Yarrowia lipolytica: one gene and its partner. The protein of the gene in region 2 purifies or fractionates together with the protein of the main gene of each other region. This does not show direct contact. Links are inferred from orthologs where the notes say so. Each region holds a gene or a part of one and is shown on either strand. Other genes may lie near its edges.

Region 1 (4,978 bases), on a different chromosome or scaffold from region 2:
GTTGGTGATGAGTTTAAATTTCACATTTCTGCACGCCGTCATACACCGATGGGTAATCACACGACAGTGATAGGAGGGGGAGGGGAGAGGATTGGAGGTAGGATTTAAGTGGAGTTGTTAAAACACCGGGTATGATTAACTGTTCTATATATTGATAACGTGTGTAATATCTCCTATTTCATGGGTGTGAAGTACTTGTACTTGTATCTCTTTGTGAGGAATGACAGAAGTTTAGTTAGACAATGGTTAGACAAATATGAGTGATGGTTTATACTTGTAATTATAGTAATCAGATCAACTGTTGAAGCTCCAAAAAAAGCAATCAATATAAACAGTGCAAGTATCGTAGATAATCCAATTACCCGTCTAAATCATTAGCAATGTATCATTATATAGTTGTTTCTACTGGTGCGCTCAACGCATCTTGTCGCAAATTAAAACATTTACATCATCATTAGGTCTATGACTACATCATCTGACTACATATACACCGGCACCCCCTAATCCCGGCTAGGCTTCTGTTTCTTGGCCTCTGCCTCCTTTTCTTCCTCAATCTCAGCAACGTACTCAGCAATGGTTTCCGTGCTCAGAACCTCGGTAGGGTTGTCGGCAGACAAGATGGCAATCTCAATGTTCTTGGCTCCGGTCTGGACAACCTCCAGCAGACTCTTGATAGCCAGCCGAATGGTGGCGGCTTTGTCCATATCCTCCTCGTAGTTCTTCTCCAGGAAATCTCGTACAGTCTTGGAGCTCTTACCGATGGCGTTGGCTTTCCACGCGTTGTAGATTCCAGAGGGCTCTGTCTGGTACAGCTTGGGCACCTTGTCGTTGGGGTCGAATCCAACAATCAGAGTAGAAATACCGAATGGTCGTACACCACCTGACTGGGTGTATCGCTGCTGAACACCAGCAATGTATCGGGAGATGTACTCGACGGAAACGGGGTCTTCAACTGTGAGTCGGTGAGACTGAGCCTCAACTCGGGCCTTGTCGACGAGGATTCGGGCGTCGGCGTTCAGACCGGCAAAGGCCAGAGACACATGAGTGTCCAACTTGCAGATCTTGGAGGGGGTGATTCGAGGGTCCTGGAGCTTGAGAGCAGACCGCTTCTCGCATCCCAGAATGACGACATCCTTGCCCTTGACACCGACGGCTGCGGTTCCTCTCTTAACAGCCTCCAAGGCGTACTCCACCTCTGTTGTTAGTATTGTCTCTTGCTGGTTGGGCGTTGGGGTGTCTGTCTATCGCCACCGTCCATCGCCATCCTTACAACAGATGCAAGAATCGCAATGGCAGTAGACGTGGACAGATCCAACGAAACCCAACTATCCTGTCGTACCGACGCTGACGTCGGGGCGAGATTGTGACTGTTGCCACCTCTGTGAACGTTAGTGCCACCTGGATGTCTTGTTCAACTTACGGAAAACGTGTCCGTCGGGACTGTGTTAGTAATCAATCGATAATTGTGTGTGGCACTTTCGTGTGCAAATACTCACCTGAATACTGAAAGTGCTCTGTCGTAGCCGCTCATTGTGATTTGTGTATGTGTGGTGAGGGACTGATGCTGAAGTGGTTGGTGGTGGCGAACTCAATGTGTGATGATACAGCCTGCATACTATTGATTACAGTAATAGTGGACATGATCGTCAACTAAGTTAGAGAGGCAAGGTTCAAGTGTTGGAAGCAGAAAATAGCCACCAGTTCACTTGTACTGTGGAGAGAGTATTCAAGAGAGTAAACAATAAAATGTTTATACTTATTAAAGCAATTCATCTCGGCAGGTCTCATTTATGTATTTAGGTGAATTGTGTAGTTCTGTTACATGGAGCTGTCTGTATACATTTCAGGCGACATTCAATCTCCATCACCTCAATAATTTACAAATAATTATACACTTCGGCTACTGTACACATACCAGTACAATTAATGAATTAATTAATGAATCTAAAGGAATCTAAAGGAATCTAAAGGAATCTAAAGGAATCTAAATAAGAAGCTGAAGGGTTAATAATGTAAGTGATTCACTCTCAAGTGGAATCCTACTTGAGAGTGAAGCTGGTGGTCAGAACAAAGTCTCGCGAACTGTGGCCTACGTAAACCTTGTACTCTCCTCGTTGGACCCGCCAGCTCTGAAGTTTGACATCCCAGACCGCGAGATCTCGCCATTGAACATCGTATAGAATTCCCTGCCGTTCTCCCACCTTGAGCTCGGACCGTTCGAATCCTCGAAGCTGTCTAGGAGCGGTTTTAAGATCGTCGTTATCCTGAGGGAAGGCAATGTACATCTGGGTGACCACTCCAGTATCATAGGGACCATAGTTAGACACGCTGTGGACAATGTAGACTGCAGAGAGCCACAGAGCAGGGTTGCCTCCGACAGCCCCGCCGTTAATGTTGGTACTGTTGGACTGCTCACTGGAGTACCCCTCAGGATAGGGATAATGGGTCTCGTTAGAGAAGATCTCCGAGGTATCGTTCAGGTATGGATAGACGTACTTGTTCAAAGGATCAATGTCACTGGGGAAGACGGACTCATTGGCGTGAGGAGTAAATGCGTTCTTAGGCTTGTTGGGGTTCGAAGGGGCAAAGGGAGTGGGCAAGAACTCAGGAATGCTAGGGAAAGCATACCGGGCTTCGAGATTCTCCACCGTAATGTTAGAGTAAGACAGACCGTAGCCAAATTCAAACCTAGGAGTCACCTGGTTCTCGTCGAACCGTTTGTAGTCCAAAAGAGTACCCTCAGTGAAATAGTCTTGAGGAAGGCCGTCTTCAGGGATCTTAGTAGTAAGAGGAATGTAGTCGGTGTCATTCTTGGCAATAGTGAAAGGGAGTTTTCCTGAAGGGGCGATGTCGCCGAAGAGAATAGAGGCTGCAGCTCTTCCTCCAAAGTCACCAGCGGGTCCAGTGAGAAGCACGGCAGTGACGTTTGGGTTGTCGATCCACTTTTCGAGGTTCACAGGGCCGACAGTGGTAACAACAACGATAGTGTTGGGGTTCTTAGATGCCACAGCCTTGACAACCTCGTCTCCATTGTGCCACAGCGTCAAGTTGTTTCGATCCCCAATGTTGCCGTCAACAATACCAGTACTCTCACCGGAGTCGGAAAGAACAAAGACGACACTGGCGTCGGCAGCAGCTGAAAGGATCTCAACGTTCGACAGGTTACCCCAAGATTGCGTAGTGCCTCCGATGGTGATGTTGTCCTTGGAGGCTCTCTCCTTAATGGCGTCGTAAGGAGATTGATAATCGGTAGGGTAGACGGAACCGGACCCCCATCCCTCAATAAGGGCGCCATCACTACACTGCATATTTTCTCCACAGACAGCTCCAAGTGGGCCGGTTTTAGAACCAATACCGAAAATGTTGAGGTTTCCAATATTGGTAGGGTTCAGAGGAAGAGTCTTCTTCTCATTCTTGAGAAGAACAAGCGCAGCGTTTGCTCCATCAAGAGCAGCCTTGGTAGTGTACTGGTCTCTCACATCAATATGTCGGTTAACAGTGACGTTTCCACCAGCCTTGGCTCCGTAGTACTTGTAGCTAGTAGTGTCGTTGGTCCAAGAGCTGAAGTTGGGGTCGGTCGGAGTAATTGAGAGATACAGTATGGGGGTAAGGATTCGGGTAACCATGTCGTCCACTCGGCTTTCATCAATGGTTCCATTCAGCACACTCCTGGTCAACTCGTATCCCATGAGCGGAACACCGTCCGCCCAGACAAGACCGTCTCCAGGCATGCTCATATCGAGACCAGCAAGAACAGACGCCACGCCACTTCGCTGGGCAAGCCAGTCGGACATGACAAAGCCCTGGAAACCCATTTCCTCCTTGAGCTTACCGTTCAGAATGTGGGCGTTTTGACAACCCTGAGAGCCATTGATCTGCTGATAGGAACACATGACAGATCCAACATTGGCTCGAACAGCATCAGCAAAGGGCCAAAGGTACGCTTCGTTAAGAGTTCGGTCGTCGATGTTTGAAGAGAGGGGCTGCTTCAGATCCTTGAATCCGAATCCCTGCCACTCGCCAAGTTGTCGAAAATGTTCCTGCTCGTTTCCAACCATATGCTTTACCACAGCCATGACGTTCTGGCCCTGTATACCTGTCACGGCCTCGGCGGCGAGCTTTCCAGCAAGGTAGGGGTCAGCAGAGAAGCCCTCCCAGATTCGACCTCCGTTAGCATGTCTTCCCAGTGGTCCAACCACAGGGCTGAGAGTGATATCCACTCCCTTGCGTCTATTCTCCCGTCCCATAGCAGCACCTCGCTCTCTAACCAGCTGTCGAGAGAAGGTAGAGGCAATAGTGATACCAGCAGGGAATGTGGTAATGAGGTCAGCAAATCGAATCCCAAGAGGGCCGTCTTGAAGGCACAGCGATTTTATACCCAGTCGTTCGACGGTACCAGTGTTTCCAACACAAGGACCCATCTCCCAGCCCGTACCGGTGGTGATGTTCACCTTCTCAAGCAGTGTCATGTTAGCGACCATACCCTGGGCCACCTTCAAGGCAGCTCTCCATCGCAGGTCGGTGGGAACTCTGCCAATCTCCGGAGCAGGGTAGTATGGAGGGCTGTGTTTGTAAGCGTCTTTATCTGAGAACGGGTCAGCAAGCGCTGCTGCGAGCAGCATCGTCAGCAGTAGGACGAATGCGAGCATTTTGAAAGTTATTCAGATGACTGTTAGAAGCGATGAGATGAGATATGCAAGACCTCTGTGTTTAATATACGATTTACAACCTCCAGTCTTCATTGTGCCGATACTTTGTTCCTGTCCTTTTGGGTCCCTCGCAGCCCATATTGCATATCGCCCAACTCAATGTCGCACAATACGGCGACTCGGAAACACTAACTCCGCCGTGGCCTTGGGATCAAAGAACGCTAAGCTCCTATAATATATCGCTCAAACCCTTTCAGCGGATCAGGGCGATGGTTGGTTCGGAGTTCTACTAAAGACTGGACCTGCTGTATTCCACAGTCTTGCGTGCA
Region 2 (7,933 bases):
TTTCGAGCTGTTTGAGCCCCTCCTCTCGCTCCTTGACCTTGGTCGACTGCACCCGGGCTGTGTTAATGTTGGTAGAAAAAAGTGCGCCGGAAATACTCACTTATAACCACAGCTAGACCCTCCATCTTGTTGTAGATGCCTGTCGAATGTGTTACCAGTGCCTCTAAGGTTGATGATATGCATGTAGGTGTATATTTTGAGTTTGTCAGTGGATAAGGGGTGTCTTGTAAATAACGTGATTTGTGTGAGCTATGAAGTACAAGGAGATATTATCATGTCAACAAACGTTATATATCCTAGGCTTTTAGATATCACTCTGATCTGAGGGCTTTTAGTAGAGATTGAGTCGTATCTCTTGCCATGTAAATTTTACTTGACAAATCTAAGTAAAGTTACTGTTACTTGACAACTTAAATTTTATGTTATTATAAATAAAATAAAAATTGAAACTTGACGCAAAATATAGCAATCGACCAGACAAGCAACACTAGAGCAAAAAGTGCTGGAGCAAAAAGCTGGAGAAAAAGAATCGCAAGAGACTCTGAACTCCGATACGGGGAATCGAACCCCGGTCTCCACGGTTCTCATTATGAGAGCGTGATGTGATAGCCCCTACACTATATCGGAAATGGTAGCGTTAATAGCCCGACGTGGGGCTTGAACCCACAGCCTTGAGATTACTTACTAATAAGAGTCTCACGCTCTACCGATTGAGCTAGCCAGGCAATTGCTGAAAAACTGGTTATTTTAACCTCCGCGATTGTAGCTACAAACGTCACGTGATCTAAAGTAAATTTGTTAGACGCTAAGTATTATTTGTTTACGTGATGTAATCTGGTTTGAAAGGGCGGTAATATTCCATAATGAAGCAGATTGAAAAGTGTATGATAAATGTGGGGGAGAGAAAAAGGCTCTTGTACTTGTAGCTCTTATTTTAGTGTACTTGTACTTGTTTTTCAAGTCAGAATATCTTTCTGTGAGTTTGCAAATGCACCTATAAGTAAACGCTTGCAGAAGAATTCCCTCAAATCTGATTGAAGTAAATGGGAATAAATAATCGGACTATGAATATGACTGGACACATATGTATTGAGGTTCTGGTATTTAACTATCACCAGGCAATTTTCTCATTGTCTTTCTAGGGACATTCTTACTATCCACCCTACCGTGGCGTAAGACTCCTCTGTTGGTTGATACTAGAAGCCCAGCACTGCATTAAACTTCTACTTGTTAATAATTCATTCCATCATATATATTCCCCTGGTACCCAGTCTCGTTAGAATTCTTCTTCCCGTTGATGACTACAGACAATGCTTCTGCCGCGGAGTCTTCCTGAATGACTGTCTACAGCCATTGTATGTAATTCATCAAAAGGGACTATCCAGCATCAAGCTCGATTACTGTCAATGGTGAGCAAGAGTAGCCTCCTGATTCACAATCTAGGACATATACTCAAAGCTCCGCCGTGAATGCCGTCTATTGTCGTACAAATTCGATATGTCAGTGGCTTCATACTGACAATTTTTGACTCTGCCAATTAGCTAGTATTCTTAATCGCTTGTCTGGCCTTCAATGCCGTACTTCTAGTAGCACGTGTCCTCGGTTCTGGCTTTTCGATCTTGGCTCTAGCGGACGCTGTTGACTGGGTAGCTGTAGATCCAGTTCGGCCCACTGCTGGCTTAGTAGTAGGTCTGACTTTGACAGGAGACGAGGTGGCCGGTCGCATTGGTGAACGCAGCGACTTGCCAGGGGATCGAATTGGCGACTTTGTGTTAAGCCGAGCGTCCAAATCCATGGGTGTGGTCATGCTGGGTTAGTTAATTTAATGTAGTGAATGGCCGTAAGTCACGAGGAGACAACAACTTCTCAAGTTGAGTTCAGAGGAAGCACTGGCTGAATGTACAAATACTGTACCTGTAGACAGATTGTGCAGCTGAGTAGTGATACATACAAACTGACATGTCAGAAACTCTAGACGTGTAAATATCATGTCAACCGCTTGTAGAAGCACTGTAGGTATCAACTTCCTCCTTCTTGAGTGACTTTCCCATTTATTTATTCCCAATTTCTTCTGATTTGACATCTTCATAATCAGACAAAGTCAGAAAAAACCAGGTATAATGACAATCCGCATAAAACTCCACCTTCTCCACCTTTCCTAACCACACTCACTCATGGGGAATTGTGAACTTGGGAATGTTGTGGAATCCCTGGCCGAAATTCAACTTGTTTGGCTTTCTGTCCTTGAGGGCTCCATCCTGCAGAGCTTGGACCTCCCGTAAAGTCTTGTTCCAGTACCGTTTGGGCACGCGGGTCTTTCTGATTTCAATTTTGGCGCGAACCGCCTGCGCAGCAAATTGATATTGCGACTTGAGTCGCTCGATTCTGTTGGTGACTGTGTTAATACCGAGTCTGTTTGTATGTTGTGCCCTCTGAATGGAGTCCCTATACTCACGTTCGAGCTGTAGGTTTTCAATGAGGTCGTTTTTCTGGACCTCAGTCAGCGGCTTGCGGGCCATGTTGCTAGGAAACTGGTCCATTTCCGTGGGCATAGTGAAAGTGGAAAATGTCGGTGATGTGTGTTGAGTGCTGTGTGCTGGTGAAGTTGTCATGCCGATCCTCTGTTTATCTACGTTGCCCCGGTTACGCTGGGATATATGATTAAGGTTATAATATCAAAACTTTATGTTGATTAGTCAGCAAATGAGGTGAGAAGATGAAAGGGCTTGGTTTGTGGAAGATTGGTTCCGTTGGAAAGAAGCAAAAAATTGAGAAACGAGTGACTCAATCAGAATAAGCTGACAAAGACAATCATTTTGATATACCAAAGTCTCTATATTGTATTTACCGACCGCATTTTACGAGGGAGATCTGATGATAATGGTCCCATTAGCTCAATATGACAATAGGGACATCATTGCTATGCGCCACAAGTGGTCCAGATGACTGTTGAGTAAGAAGATATAAAAAAAAACATAATCAAAATAGGAAACAATCAGCAGCTATGACTCTCAAATATCAAATTGCTCCAGTCTAGGACAACTTTTTTGAAGATTCTGTCTCCAACTAAAGCTAACTAATTAAACTCAGTATTGTTTAGGGCAACAGTTGAGCATTGCTACCCTCAATACTCTCCCATAACTCGACTTCCAGTACTCCGATCGGGTTTTTAAAAGAAGTAACTAATATATCCAACTTTTCCCCAAAGATAGTGCAAATTCCGCTCTCACCAGCCCAAATCCGCCACACTTGATATGGTGGCAAATCGCCTACTGTCCAAACTCTATCACCGCTGACGTCAGCACTCTGTCCCAACCACTATAACCATTGCCACAGATCACCACTCTACACACCACACAACAAGACACAACAGAAGCGCATCACGATGGTTTTGGAAGCAACAATGATAGTGTGAGTATTACCGACGGCCAATGATGTTATCCACACCCCGCTAACACAGAATGGACAACTCCGAGTTCATGCGAAACGGAGACTACACCCCCAACCGGTTCGATGCCCAGGTGGACTGTGTCAACCAGCTCTTCACCATCAAGACCAACCGCAACCCTGAGAGCGCAGTGGGTCTGATGAGCATGGGCGGCCGAGGTCCTGAGGTGCTTGCCACCCTCACCACAGACCACGGCAAGATTCTGGCCGGTATCCACGACACTCATATCACCGGTGCTCCCCACCTCACCACAGGCATTCAGGTGGCCGCGCTGGCTCTCAAACACAGACTCAACAAGCTGCAGCGGCAACGGGTGATTGTGTTTGTGGGATCGCCGGTCGAGGAGGACGTCAAGGCACTGGTCAAGCTTGCCAAGAAGATGAAGAAGAACAGCGTGGCGGTGGACTTTGTCAATTTCGGCGAGGAGGGCGAAAACACAGAGAAGCTGGAAAAGTTCATCGAGGCCGTCAACTCAGGCGACAACTCTCACCTGGTCACCATCCCCCCTGGCCCTCATCTGCTGTCAGACATTCTGCGCAACTCTCCCATCATCAAGGAAGACGACGACGGAATGGATACTTCGGGCATGGGCGGCGCTCCTGGCGGCTCCAACGACGCGGACTTTGAGTTTGGTGTGGACCCCAGCGTGGATCCCGAGCTGGCTCTGGCGCTGCGAATGTCGCTGGAGGACGAAAAGGCCCGACTGGAGAAGGAGAAGGAGCAGCCCGAGAAGCTGGATTCGGTTAAGGAAGAGGACGTGAAGAAGGAAGATGAGGATGCAAGTGGAGAGGACAAGGGTAAGGACAAGAAGGATGACGACAAGATGGATACGAGTGCGTAATCGAAGCACGCTTGAAATATGTGAAGCACAATTGAGAGGCGACTAGGGCGACTGAGCGCGATGCGACGAAGGAATTGGTAGACACAGATCATGTGTTATAATCACAAGATCGACTTCGTCCACCCTGCACTAATCCATACGCACCTTAGAAGTGCAGCCCTAGGATAGGTAGGAATCAATGATATATGAATGCAAGTTCTCTGAGTGCAAGCACGAGGGGAATTGAGGTGGTGTGGTGTAGCTGTGAACATGTAGATGCTGTGTATCTGAGCTACTCTGGTTGTTTTATCGTGGTTGTGATGGATTGGATAATTAGCTTGCTCATTAAGGGATGCGGGGCTGTACCTTATCTGCTGACACCGTTGGCGATTCTCGATGGCAGGAATATAATCATGCTCTTCCCAGTTCTGTCCGAGGTTTATATGAGTTATTGTATGTAGAATCCATTAAACATGTGTTTGAGGAGGAAATGTCCTCTATCAGAAGAAAATTGTAGTTATGCGTACCACCAAGAACATCAATGGATAGCCTTTGACGGATCAATTGATGACCTGAGATCTTCATATAGAAAGAGCTATTTGGATTAACATGAGGTGGGCCCAAATGCCGCTGTTGTCTCTTCTGTCAACTACAAGTACCAGTACACAAGAGTAGGATCAGAGCTTTGATCTGTACTTGTACAAGTAGTAAGAGGGAGGGGATTGTGATTCATACTAACAATATGGCTTTCTATACTCACTAATTAAGTCTCCATTCTTGTGCCATAGCTGGAATCTTTTATATGAATCCCCAGAGACTATTTCTTCTACTAATTGATCAGAAGAGGGATTGTTCTAACAAAGGTCCAAAGCGGAGAGAGTGACAGATGTTGGTCAGGTCGTGCACTCGAGATTGATGTTGTTCAATACAACGCTAGAACTATGGTTTTATTGCCCTTTCAAAGTCCTCTATGGTTCATCCTACAGTACAAGTACAGTACAGCCGATGGTAACACTTGGATACACTGCACGATGCTCAGTCAGCTGGCAGTACAGTAGATACAATTGAAATAACTATACTACATTCTCCAGAGTATCAACACTAGTGCAACAGCAATGTCTGCCTATAATGTAATACAGTAGTACACAGTATGGTGCAGTAGCTCTACGAGTGCTCGTGTATACAATACTGTACCAAACAGCAACCTCTGGCTCAACAGGTGACTGATAAAAACAAGCAAAAGATCATGGAGCTCGGCAATTGACTCCGCCATGAAGCGCTTATATTGGTTTCAGGGTCGCTTACCGTCTCTAATTATAAAAAATACATATATTAGTCAAAGCTACATGAAAGCACGCCTAGATCCTTAGACGCGTTTCAGCTGAAGGAAGACAGCCACCTAAGCATCTACTTGTTCAAAAGTTGGAATCGCTATTTCTGTGACGTCAATCGACGGCAACCAAACAGCGAAAGTCTCCGTGGAATCCAGACAGTCGTTTCTTTCAGTCATTGGTCCAGGCTTTTCTTTTGCCAACTCTCTGGCTGTAAAAGGACCGTTCGTGGGCCTCTTTTGGATACAAAGAAACGCCAAGACCTTAGAATTACAGTGCGTGGGAAGCTAGTAGTCTCAGACCTACACTCAGTAGGTTTCATCCTGGAATGTGTACAAGGAACTACAGGTTGACCTGATGGCCCCTTGAGGGATAGTGTTGTTTTGTGCCTTGTGGGAGGTCCAACTTATCAGTTGTCTGTCGACGTTAGCATCTCTTTCGTCTCTCCCTAATTCCTGTGATCATCAATGCCGGGATCTGCGTATGGGCTGTAGGCGCATCAGATAACCCATCAGATTATATTTGTGCACACGAACTCTAGGTCGCTCGGGAGCGCATCAGATAATTTCGAACCTTGGTGCAAGCGTAGATTTACGAAGCAACCCTTAAGACCAGGGTAACAGTGTGGAATGTGTGTAGAAATTCCAGCATGAGTACGGCGTACTTACCCCTTACATGGTAGCTACTGTAGACAGTGGAATGCCAAATCTCAGGGACCTTGGCTAGAAGATGTCAGACCACTCGGTTTGTACGAACGGCACCCCAAGTTTGGTAGCATATCAATAAGTGTCGATCATGTCTATCATCTACAGTAATGTCTCTTCCGGTTACCGGAAAGGCAGAGACAGCCCCGTCGGTAATGGCCACAGAAAATCATTAGTTGGTGTGTAGCTAGTTACACTTGTGCTTAATGGTGCTCTACTGTTCATGACCCTCACGTCCAGTACGAGTAGTCGCAACATTTCGGGAACAATCCTACTTGTAGTTTACATGGCAGGCACCCATTCGTACGGCACACCCTGGTCCACCGGTCTAGCTCAACTGTTTCGATAGTTCAAATTTATGATATCCAGAGGTACAGTATAATTAGCTTGGATGAAAAAGTGAGGCGTTATTTCGTCTTCATTAGGGATAGAGGCAATAATCTCAAAAAATCTGCCCAGTAAATCCAAAAGCACATGCCAGTACCAACCATTTGAATACGAGAAGTCAACAAGAACAAGCGAATACAGCTCTACACAGACCTGTGATAGGACACTGCTCTCCTCAAAATAACCTTGGCATCGGCTGCACAGACTAATTTGGAGGCGTTTTGAAAATCTTGCTTGCGAGTCATTTTTTCGCCAAGAACCATGCAGCTGCAAAATTATCTGATCGGTAATTTCTTTGTCTGGACCGTGCGTCTCTTTGTTGTGGTATGCAACTGGGCAAACTCTGATGGAATTGATAACTCGAACCACGCAACTGTACCGCTCAAAAGAGGCCGTTGAGCGGAATATATAAACAGGACAGCTTTCCCTGAATGGCCCTCTCATAAACCACAAACCTCAAACACTCGTTTATTACTCTCGTTAACATGAAGTGGTCTACTACAACCCTCCTCAGCCTGTGCCTGGCCTCCTCGGCCGTGGCTGTGGCCGTCCCCTTTGCCCAGGACGGCGCAACCTACCAGTGCCATGCCACTTGTGGTAACATGATTCTGGATGCCCGAAAGTGCGCCGACGGTGACTCCTGGAACAGAGACTGTCTGTGTGACAACGGCACTCCCTTTGAGCAGGCCCGAGACCCTTGTCTGGAGTGTGGCTCCACTCTGTGGAACGATTACGGCAAGTACCTTGAGCCTCCTCTTGCCTTCTGCGGCTTCCCCACCAAGCCCGTCGATCCTAACGCTGCCTCTTCTTCTGCCGCCCCTGAGTCTTCTGCTGCTCCCGAGACTTCTTCTGCTGCTCCCGAGACTTCTTCTGCTGCTCCCGAGACTTCTTCCGCTGCTCCCGAGACTTCTTCTGCTGCTCCCGAGTCTTCCGCTGCTCCCGAGACCTCCGCAGAGGCCACCCCTGCTACTACCGAGCCTACCTCTGCTTCTCCTGCCTCTTCTGCCGCTTCTGCCACTCCCACTTATGACCCCTGCCACCCCATTTGCGGCAACCTGATTCTCTCTGCTCGACGATGTGCCGACGGAGATTCGTGGAACAAGGACTGTCTGTGTAACGAGGGAACCAACTTCCACGACAATGCACCCAACTGTCTTGCTTGTGGAGCCGGTATCTGGCCTCAGTACGGTCAGTACCTCGAGGGCCCTCTTGCTTTCTGTGGTCTTCCTACCGCCCCTCAGGG

What was found. The genes of interacting proteins can lie anywhere in the genome.
Region 1: the proteins of YALI1_D04772g (region 2) and YALI1_B18811g purify together in Saccharomyces cerevisiae (affinity purification with mass spectrometry, with the first as the bait; 3 studies listed by BioGRID). This does not show direct contact. The link is inferred for Yarrowia lipolytica from reciprocal best matches to the Saccharomyces cerevisiae genes RPN10 and PRE6.

What each region holds. Positions count from the first base shown.
Region 1 is NC_090771.1:1,879,932-1,884,909, forward strand, and holds YALI1_B18811g (uncharacterized protein), read right to left. Parts: upstream 1,532-4,978; coding exon 1,497-1,531; intron 1,441-1,496; coding exon 1,421-1,440; intron 1,196-1,420; coding exon 501-1,195; downstream 1-500. Other genes in the region: YALI1_B18845g (uncharacterized protein), read right to left, coding at 2,040-4,649. UniProt on the Saccharomyces cerevisiae protein: The proteasome degrades poly-ubiquitinated proteins in the cytoplasm and in the nucleus. It is essential for the regulated turnover of proteins and for the removal of misfolded proteins.
Region 2 is NC_090773.1:473,638-481,570, reverse strand, and holds YALI1_D04772g (uncharacterized protein), read left to right. Parts: upstream 1-3,403; coding exon 3,404-3,411; intron 3,412-3,460; coding exon 3,461-3,657; intron 3,658-3,702; coding exon 3,703-4,281; intron 4,282-4,345; coding exon 4,346-4,422; downstream 4,423-7,933. Other genes in the region: YALI1_D04814g (uncharacterized protein), read right to left, coding at 1-57, 101-125; YALI1_D04789g (uncharacterized protein), read right to left, coding at 2,169-2,612; YALI1_D04725g (uncharacterized protein), read right to left, coding at 7,131-7,933. UniProt on the Saccharomyces cerevisiae protein: Multiubiquitin binding protein.